Linked DNA regions of Saccharomyces cerevisiae S288C. Changing the gene in region 2 together with the main gene of any one other region gives a genetic interaction. Each region holds a gene or a part of one and is shown on either strand. Other genes may lie near its edges.

Evidence for each region. Genes that interact genetically often act in the same process or in processes that back each other up.
Region 1: mutations in COX10 (region 2) and SRP101 together harm fitness more than expected from each alone (negative genetic interaction), as found in Saccharomyces cerevisiae (2 studies listed by BioGRID).

What each region holds. Positions count from the first base shown.
Region 1 is NC_001136.10:1,042,646-1,046,787, forward strand, and holds SRP101 (signal recognition particle receptor subunit alpha), read right to left. Parts: upstream 2,367-4,142; coding exon 501-2,366; downstream 1-500. Other genes in the region: HRQ1 (ATP-dependent 3'-5' DNA helicase), read left to right, coding at 1-316; mRNA-binding translational repressor SSD1, read right to left, coding at 2,995-4,142. UniProt on the Saccharomyces cerevisiae protein: Component of the SRP (signal recognition particle) receptor (SR). Ensures, in conjunction with the signal recognition particle, the correct targeting of the nascent secretory proteins to the endoplasmic reticulum membrane system.
Region 2 is NC_001148.4:223,853-227,265, forward strand, and holds COX10 (protoheme IX farnesyltransferase), read right to left. Parts: upstream 1,890-3,413; coding exon 501-1,889; downstream 1-500. Other genes in the region: mitochondrial 54S ribosomal protein uL24m MRPL40, read left to right, coding at 1-184; OYE3 (NADPH dehydrogenase), read right to left, coding at 2,317-3,413. UniProt on the Saccharomyces cerevisiae protein: Catalyzes the first reaction in the biosynthesis of heme A, a prosthetic group of mitochondrial cytochrome c oxidase (CcO).

The DNA of each region.
Region 1 (4,142 bases), on a different chromosome or scaffold from region 2:
AAGAAGAATAGAAGAATGCCCATGCAGCGATGGATGTCCTGACTGTGTAGCGGCTTCTTTTTGTAAGGAAAACAGCCTGGTCCTGTCGAAACCTGGCGCCCAAGTCGTTTTGCATTGTATTCTAGGTCACTCGGAAGATAGTTTTATAGATCTTATCAAAGATGGTCCAGAGCCAAATATGCCAGAGATAAAAGTAGAGACTGTTATTCCTGTGTCAGAGCATGTCAACTTTTCAGATGATTTTAAGATTATTGACGTTAGAAGAGCTACGAAAGACGATACTCATACAAATGAAATCATTAAAAAAGAGATATGAGCACGCTATTTGTAGTTTGTAAACCGAATATAAATACTCTATTCTACTACTTGTAGATTCACTTGGTGGAAAGAAGTTACATCAACATTCTGTCACCTTGTTGATGCACAGAAAAAAAGACACTTTATTATTGTTGAATAACATTGTCTGTGGTATATATATATATACTATGATATTACAGTTTTTAAGACATTAATGTATTAACAGCCCATTTTACGCTTAATGTCCTCAAATCGGTATAGGTTTGTCCCACGCCAACGAATAAGATAGGAATCCCCGTAGCATAAACCATATTTACCATAGTACCCAGCATTTCACCAACTGTGTCACACTTGGAGATAATAAAGAAGTCAAGATTTCTTCCCTTTCCGAAGGCATCATTAAAATTTTTGGCTTGCTGGACAGAATCAGTACCTACTAAAGCCTCTCCAACCATAATGATTTTATCTGGCTTGGCTTGGTCAGCGAAAGACTTCAATGGCGACATTAAAGTAGGATCATTATGCCTTCTCCCGGCAGTATCCATTAACACTATATCGAAGTTTTGATCACGAGAATATTTGATGGCTTGCTTTGCAATTTTGGTTACCAAGTCAGATCCACCATAACCAGCTTCAAATAGTTCAACGTAGTCATTACCAGTTTTACCCCTTTTGTTCTTGGAGCCACGAACGTGTGAATCATCCATTAGCTGTGCCAAATTTTCAACATGGACCCTTAGTTGCTCAACTGCACCAGACCTAAACGTATCACAAGCAACAATTAAGACCTTGAAATTATTTTGCAGTAACCAAAACGCTAGCTTTGAAAGATTTGTTGACTTACCAACACCATTAACACCAACTATAGAGAACACATAGGGATCACATTTACCTTCTTCATCCTTTTTGCTTCTTTTGCTCTGAATTTCACGGAGGAGATCAACGGATACACCAGGCGTTAATATTTGAGTTAATGCTTTTGTTAAAGATTCACGAGCAGTATTCTCAACACTGGTCCAATTTGCAGTTTTTGAGCCTACAAGATCATGTGAGACTTGCTGTGTTAAATAGTCTGCTGCCTCTGGTGCTACATTTTTGGTTATCAATTGTTGTGTTAACTTCTCTAATACAGATTTCAAATCACTTTCATTGATCGTTTTGTTACCTAGAACGTGTTTTTGAAGGAATCCAAAAGCTGTACTGACGTATCCAGAATTTTTAGCTTCGTTCCCACTAGTTATCTCGTCTTTATGAGAAGACAAAAGATCATCAATTTCTTTGATTAAGAAATCGCCTCCTTCTGTTCTATCCCCAAAAGAATCTTTATTAATAGTGGAGTCTAGAGCTACTTGGCTACTATTGTGGCTGTTGGATGATGAGAAATCTAATTTGGCTGCATCTTCATGATTCATTTCATCAAGCATGCCACCATCACGGCCCCACTTTCTCCCACTACCAACATTTCCTGTAGATTGCTTCTTACCTTTTGTATCCCTCAATTTTTTCTTGGTATTTTTATTATGCGATTGGGGTACTGATCCATTTTTGGTAAAATTATCTGGATTGATATGGTCTTGTTTTATTGACTCTTCATATTTTATCCTAAAATATTGCTCAAATTTCTTCAGGTCGTCTTCAATTCCCTGAAGAATATCGACGTAGTTATGCTTGTTCTTTTCGTTTTGGCCCTGACGATTTTTTAGAATGGATTCACTTAAATGCAATGAGTTCCAGAGTTTTAACACCAGTGCAAGTGTTTGTTGAGTTTCTTGATTAAGCTCTAAAGTCTGCTCGGCAAAAGTCACTACGAAATACAATTCTGGTTGCTTATTCAAATAAAATAGTGCATTAAATGAAGGAGAATTTTTGTGTTCGCTGTTGATTGTTAAAAGATTGAAATCAAATCCGTCTGTATTTGCGTTTGCAACACTTTCTTTTCTAGTTACTGGGGAAGTAATCAGCTGGGATATAAAGCTGTTAATTTGTATTTCAGAAAACTTTTTTCCTAAACAGTTATATTGGTAAAGTACTTGACCTTGAGGGGTAAAGACTGCTAATTGGTCGAACATAATCAATGCACTTATTGAACCGTGAATCTCCTATTGAAAAAAACTACTTGATGAAGTAGCTGAATATTATTCAAACTGTGAGAATACCACAAATCTTTGGCTACAGATTAAACGCTGACGAAAAATTGGTTTATTTATTTCTATCTACTTATTGTACGACCTCAAATGTTTACGCAGTAGTTTCTGAAGTACGAGCAAAATTGCTCGACGATGATTTCGTTATTGTTTCCGGAAAAATTACCCAGCGCATAAAAAGTAAGCTTTCAGTACTTCTCTTTGATGATATTTGTACAGCAAAAGGGTATTTAGTAACGGAATAAATTTAATATATAAGAGTATAAATAACAAAAGACAATATAAATTGAAAAGTTGTAAATATTGAAAAGAAGGCTGCATTATTGTTTTATGTATTTTTGGGAAAAAATATATGACTTAACGAGGTCGAATAAAAAAATTTGGATGATGCCTTACCGGAACGTGGATTAAAAGGAGAAGTACAAAATTCATGCAGTTGTTAATGTTCGCAGGAAATAAAAACAAAGGGAAGGGATACTGAGGGGTGAAGCACAATCCAAAGAACGAAAGTGAAAAACAAGAAAAACAGCAATGACGATATTGGTAGAAGAGATTATACCCTCTTCATGAATGGATTTAATGCACGGACGGTTAAACATGGCAAAGCCATCCCCACCTCAGCTCTCAATAGAATAGGAATCTTTTGCAATTCATGTATTTCTTGTATATAGTTATCATTTTCAATTCTGGTTTCAGTAGTAGAAATGAATTTTTCTAAAGCATTTTGCTTGTTGTCGCTTGCAGATGGTAGCCTTAAATTTGGTACTGTTAGATGCAAATCGCTGAGTTCCTTACTCAATGGATCGCTGATCAATGGTTCAGATTCCGCTTCTTTATCTAGTTCAATATTCGCAATCTCAGCGGCTGTGGATCTGAATTTGTTCTTAATGGAATTTCTATAGGATTTTGGATTTTTTTCATCTGCTGGTATAAAAGTTGCACTATCTACGCCGGGCTGCCAATGCAATTCCAAGACACGATTGGTACCATCAAACTCAGCTTTGATCAAAGGTAGTTGATCTCCATGAACTCTCTTTTCAATACCAAATTCTGGAATAAATACATCAAAGGAGGACTCGTAAACTTGTAAGACAGTAGCCATTGTTAATAATTGTCCTGTAGTATTTCCCATGTCGTTGATTGTTTTACACAACAATAGATGAATTGCTTGTTCCTGTGCTTGATAAGCACAGTCCTTTTTAAAATTACAATATTCGGAGGTAATCTTCAAAGCTTCCATATCTTCGGTGTATGGAGTATCGTGGATAACGGCCTTTAATTGCCTATGAACGACATGATCAGCGTATCTTCTCATTGGCGCTGTGAAATGTGTGTAGATAGGTAGGTTCAAGGCATAATGCCCATATTGGTCCGGGTCTACTTTGCCAGCAATAAAGTATCTAGCTCTTGGCATGGTTTTAAACAGTAAAATTTCAATTCCGACTCTAACATCGTCATCTTTAATTTTTAGCACCCCTTTGATTAATTCATCCGCCGTATTGGTATCAAAATTGTAACCAAAATTTTGAATTTTCTTTCTAAATGACGCCATCTTGGTTGCAATGGGTTGCATCTGCCTTCTCAAAAGAGCTAGATCACCAAGTTTGGTGTAAATTTTCTCTGCAACAGTGGAGTTGACCTTTCTTTTAATCTCATTAATTACAACAAAGCCTAAAGTTCTATCCAGGATGTTCAAGTCAA
Region 2 (3,413 bases):
CTTGACAGCGAAAGATATAGCTAAGCTAGTAGCACCTGAGATGCCCCTAACAGAGGTAAGAAAAAGCCATTTGGCAGAAAAAAAGGAGTTGGCTGAGAGAGAAGTACCAAAACTAACTGAAGAGGACATGGAAGCTATTGGGGCGAGGGTTTTTGAATTTTTGGAAAAACAAAAAAGAGAATAAATGTACCAAGTGTATGCACTCTATTTTTATATTTGATTCTCTAGTGTGATTTTTTTAATCAGTATATCCCCTTCACTATTCACGTAGTAAATAAGTTATATTCGACCTGTATATATGAAAGCATAAAGTAAAGTTCAAAGAATATTCAGATATTGATGTGGGCAAACGTGATGACTTCAAATTACAAAATCTTTTCTTTAAAAATAAATTATGTGCGTATGTACATTATTTTTAACCAATAAAAGGGTTTAAATATTTATTTACAAGATTAATGACTGCCCTTTAAGCGTTGTCTCTTTATCTCATTGTACTAATGCTAAAATCGTTCCTGTGGTCGCTTTGCTTCACCAGGATATATCCAATCCCAGCGGCCTTTTTTATGTATAATGGCTAGGATTAGAATTGCCGGTAGGTGCAATACACTAGCCATAAAAGTTTTCCTTGCATAAATGTTGGCTACACTTAGACCTTTATTAAACTTGACGTTATCTTTTAATGTTTTTGCAGAATAGTTGATTCTTTGTTGCCAATAGAATTTGAAAGCCCAGAACGTTAGCCAGGCATTTATAAGTCCGGAATCTATTTGGTAGTACCAATCTGTGATATTAAAATAAGACAATCCGAAACATAAAGGGAACATTAGGATAGAGTATCTCAACGACACACGGGCGTTTAGGAGCGGATTTTTCCATGCAGTCATAACGTATCCGGCATTTTTGTATTCATTTCTAATGTTATGACTCAACGTATTAAAGTGTGGGAATTGCCAAGCAAACAATAGACCAGCAAGGCACCAAGATCCCGGATGTGAAAGCGGACTTGCGGCTGCCCATCCCATTAGAGGAGGTACCATTCCTACTAGGGCACCTAACCATGTGTTAATGATATGCTTTCTTTTCATAGACGTATAGGCCCAGCCATATAACGCGATATTTGAAGCACCAAGAATAGCAACGGTAGGATTAACACCAAAGTACAAGATAGATACTCCTAATGTTCCGATAAGTGCGGCAAACTCGAATGCCTGGGTAGGTGTAACATCACCTCTAACAACGGGCCTCGCCTGAGTTCTCACCATTTGTCTATCAAATTCTGGCTCTCTGCCCATATTTATAGCGTTTGCAGAACCGGAACACAAAGTAGTGCCTACTGTTAAACATAACAATTCATTGACGGAGGCTGGATATGGAGATAAAGCATACGAACAAATGGCACTTAACATCACTAGAATGGTGAGTCGGGGCTTGGTCAACTGAAGATATGGCATAATTACCTTCTTCTTTAAAGTTTTCATATTCAGCCCTTCGCTGATTGCGTGAGATGGTCTCTTAGATTTTCTTACCATCGGGTCTACAAGTTTGACATTAAATGGAAGTTGTGTGCTTGCATCGGTAGTAGCTTCGCTTCCACTTGAAGTTGATATATCATCTGTGCATCTTAGCGTTTTCATGGCAGTCGATTCAACCTTTTTATTGCAATTAGAGGTTCTATCACCATATCCAAAATTGGGAGTAAATTCTATCGGCGCAGTGTTTATATGTTGCTGTTTCCCGCCATGATTCCGACTAATATAACGAACTCCATTAAATCGAATTTTTATTTGAGTATCGTGCAGCTGTGTACCAATTTGTAAGTATATATTCCCTTTATTATGAGCAAGAACATTTCTCATCAAGTGAGCATATGTTCGAGGAAAGTAACTCATCTAAAGAGGAAAAAAGGAGAAATCGAAAAAAAGAGATACTATAGGCCTAAAATAAAAAGACCCCGCTATGAGGAATATTAATCACGCCCGAATCACGTCTATTGCAGATATCAAGAATTTTCTTCTTTGATTAATCTCACTTGCGGTGGATTTACGTCAATGGGCTTGCAAGCATAAAAAAGTCATTTTATTATTCCCTTTGAACAGCGCGCGGGCACGAGAAAGCTGCCCTATATAAACAAAGATCGAGTCTTTTTGGCTTGGATGATGTTTAAAATACTTTAAAAAGTGAAGACAAAAACTATCTTTATTTCCTTAAGTTATAATTATTGATGTATCAAATATAAATATCTATATGTGAGTTTTGTAATTAAAAATATGGCAGGAATATGAAAAATACATAACATCAATGTCTTTATTCATGATTTCAGTTCTTGTTCCAACCTAAATCTACTGCCTCTTCATATGTTGGGTAGTCGGTATAACCTTCCGCGGACATGGTGTAGAAGGTACTTCTGTCATACTTGTTCAATGGCAGGCCCTCTTCTAAACGGTAGACTAAATCTGGGTTAGAGATGAAGAATCTACCATAGCCTATCAAGGTTCTGGGATCCTTTACTTGTTCTCTAACCACTTCTGGATGAAGAGCGTAATTACCAGCTCTGATGATTGGACCCTTCCATATAGAGTAGGCAAAATCGTTAGTACCCTCGGAATATTCTCCTTCGCCCTCCACCAACGATGGGTCCGTGACACGTGGTTCAACGAGGTGCACAAAGGCCAAACGCTTACCAGCCTTTGCCCTCTTCTCTAATTCACCCAAAACATACGAATATTGAGCGATAATACCTGGTTCAGCACCCCCAGACATACTGTTAAAAGTGCCGTACGGCGACAACCTCAAACCCACCCGTTCAGGACCGATAGTTTCGATAAGAGCATCGACAACCTCCAGTGTAAAGCGGGCCCTGTTTTCGATCGTTCCGCCGTATTCGTCGGTCCTCTTATTAGAATGTGGATCCAAGAACTGATTCAACAAGTACCCATTGGCGCTATGAATTTCTACACCATCGGCGCCAGCCGCGATAGAATTCTTAGCCGCATGGATGTAATCCTTGATATACTGTTTAATGTCGTCTTTAGTCAAACTATGTTCGAGATTATTCGCATCTTTGGCCTTTTCTTGTAACGTAGCATTCATATACACTCTGTCAGATGCACAGTCATAGCGTAACCCGTCTCTTGCCAATACGTCTGGGAAGGATGCCCAGCCTAAAGACCAAAGTTGTACCCACGCGAACGACTGACAATCATGGATGGCTAAAAAGATATTCTTCCACTCAGCGACCTGCTCATCAGACCAAATCCCAGGGGCGTTGTCATAGCCGCCGGCTTGAGGGGAAATAAACGTACCTTCCGTGATGATCATGGTACCAGGTCTTTGAGCACGCTGACCATAATACACAGCAGCCCACTCCTTATTTGGAATATTTCCGGGGTGAGTGGCCCTCATTCTGGTCAATG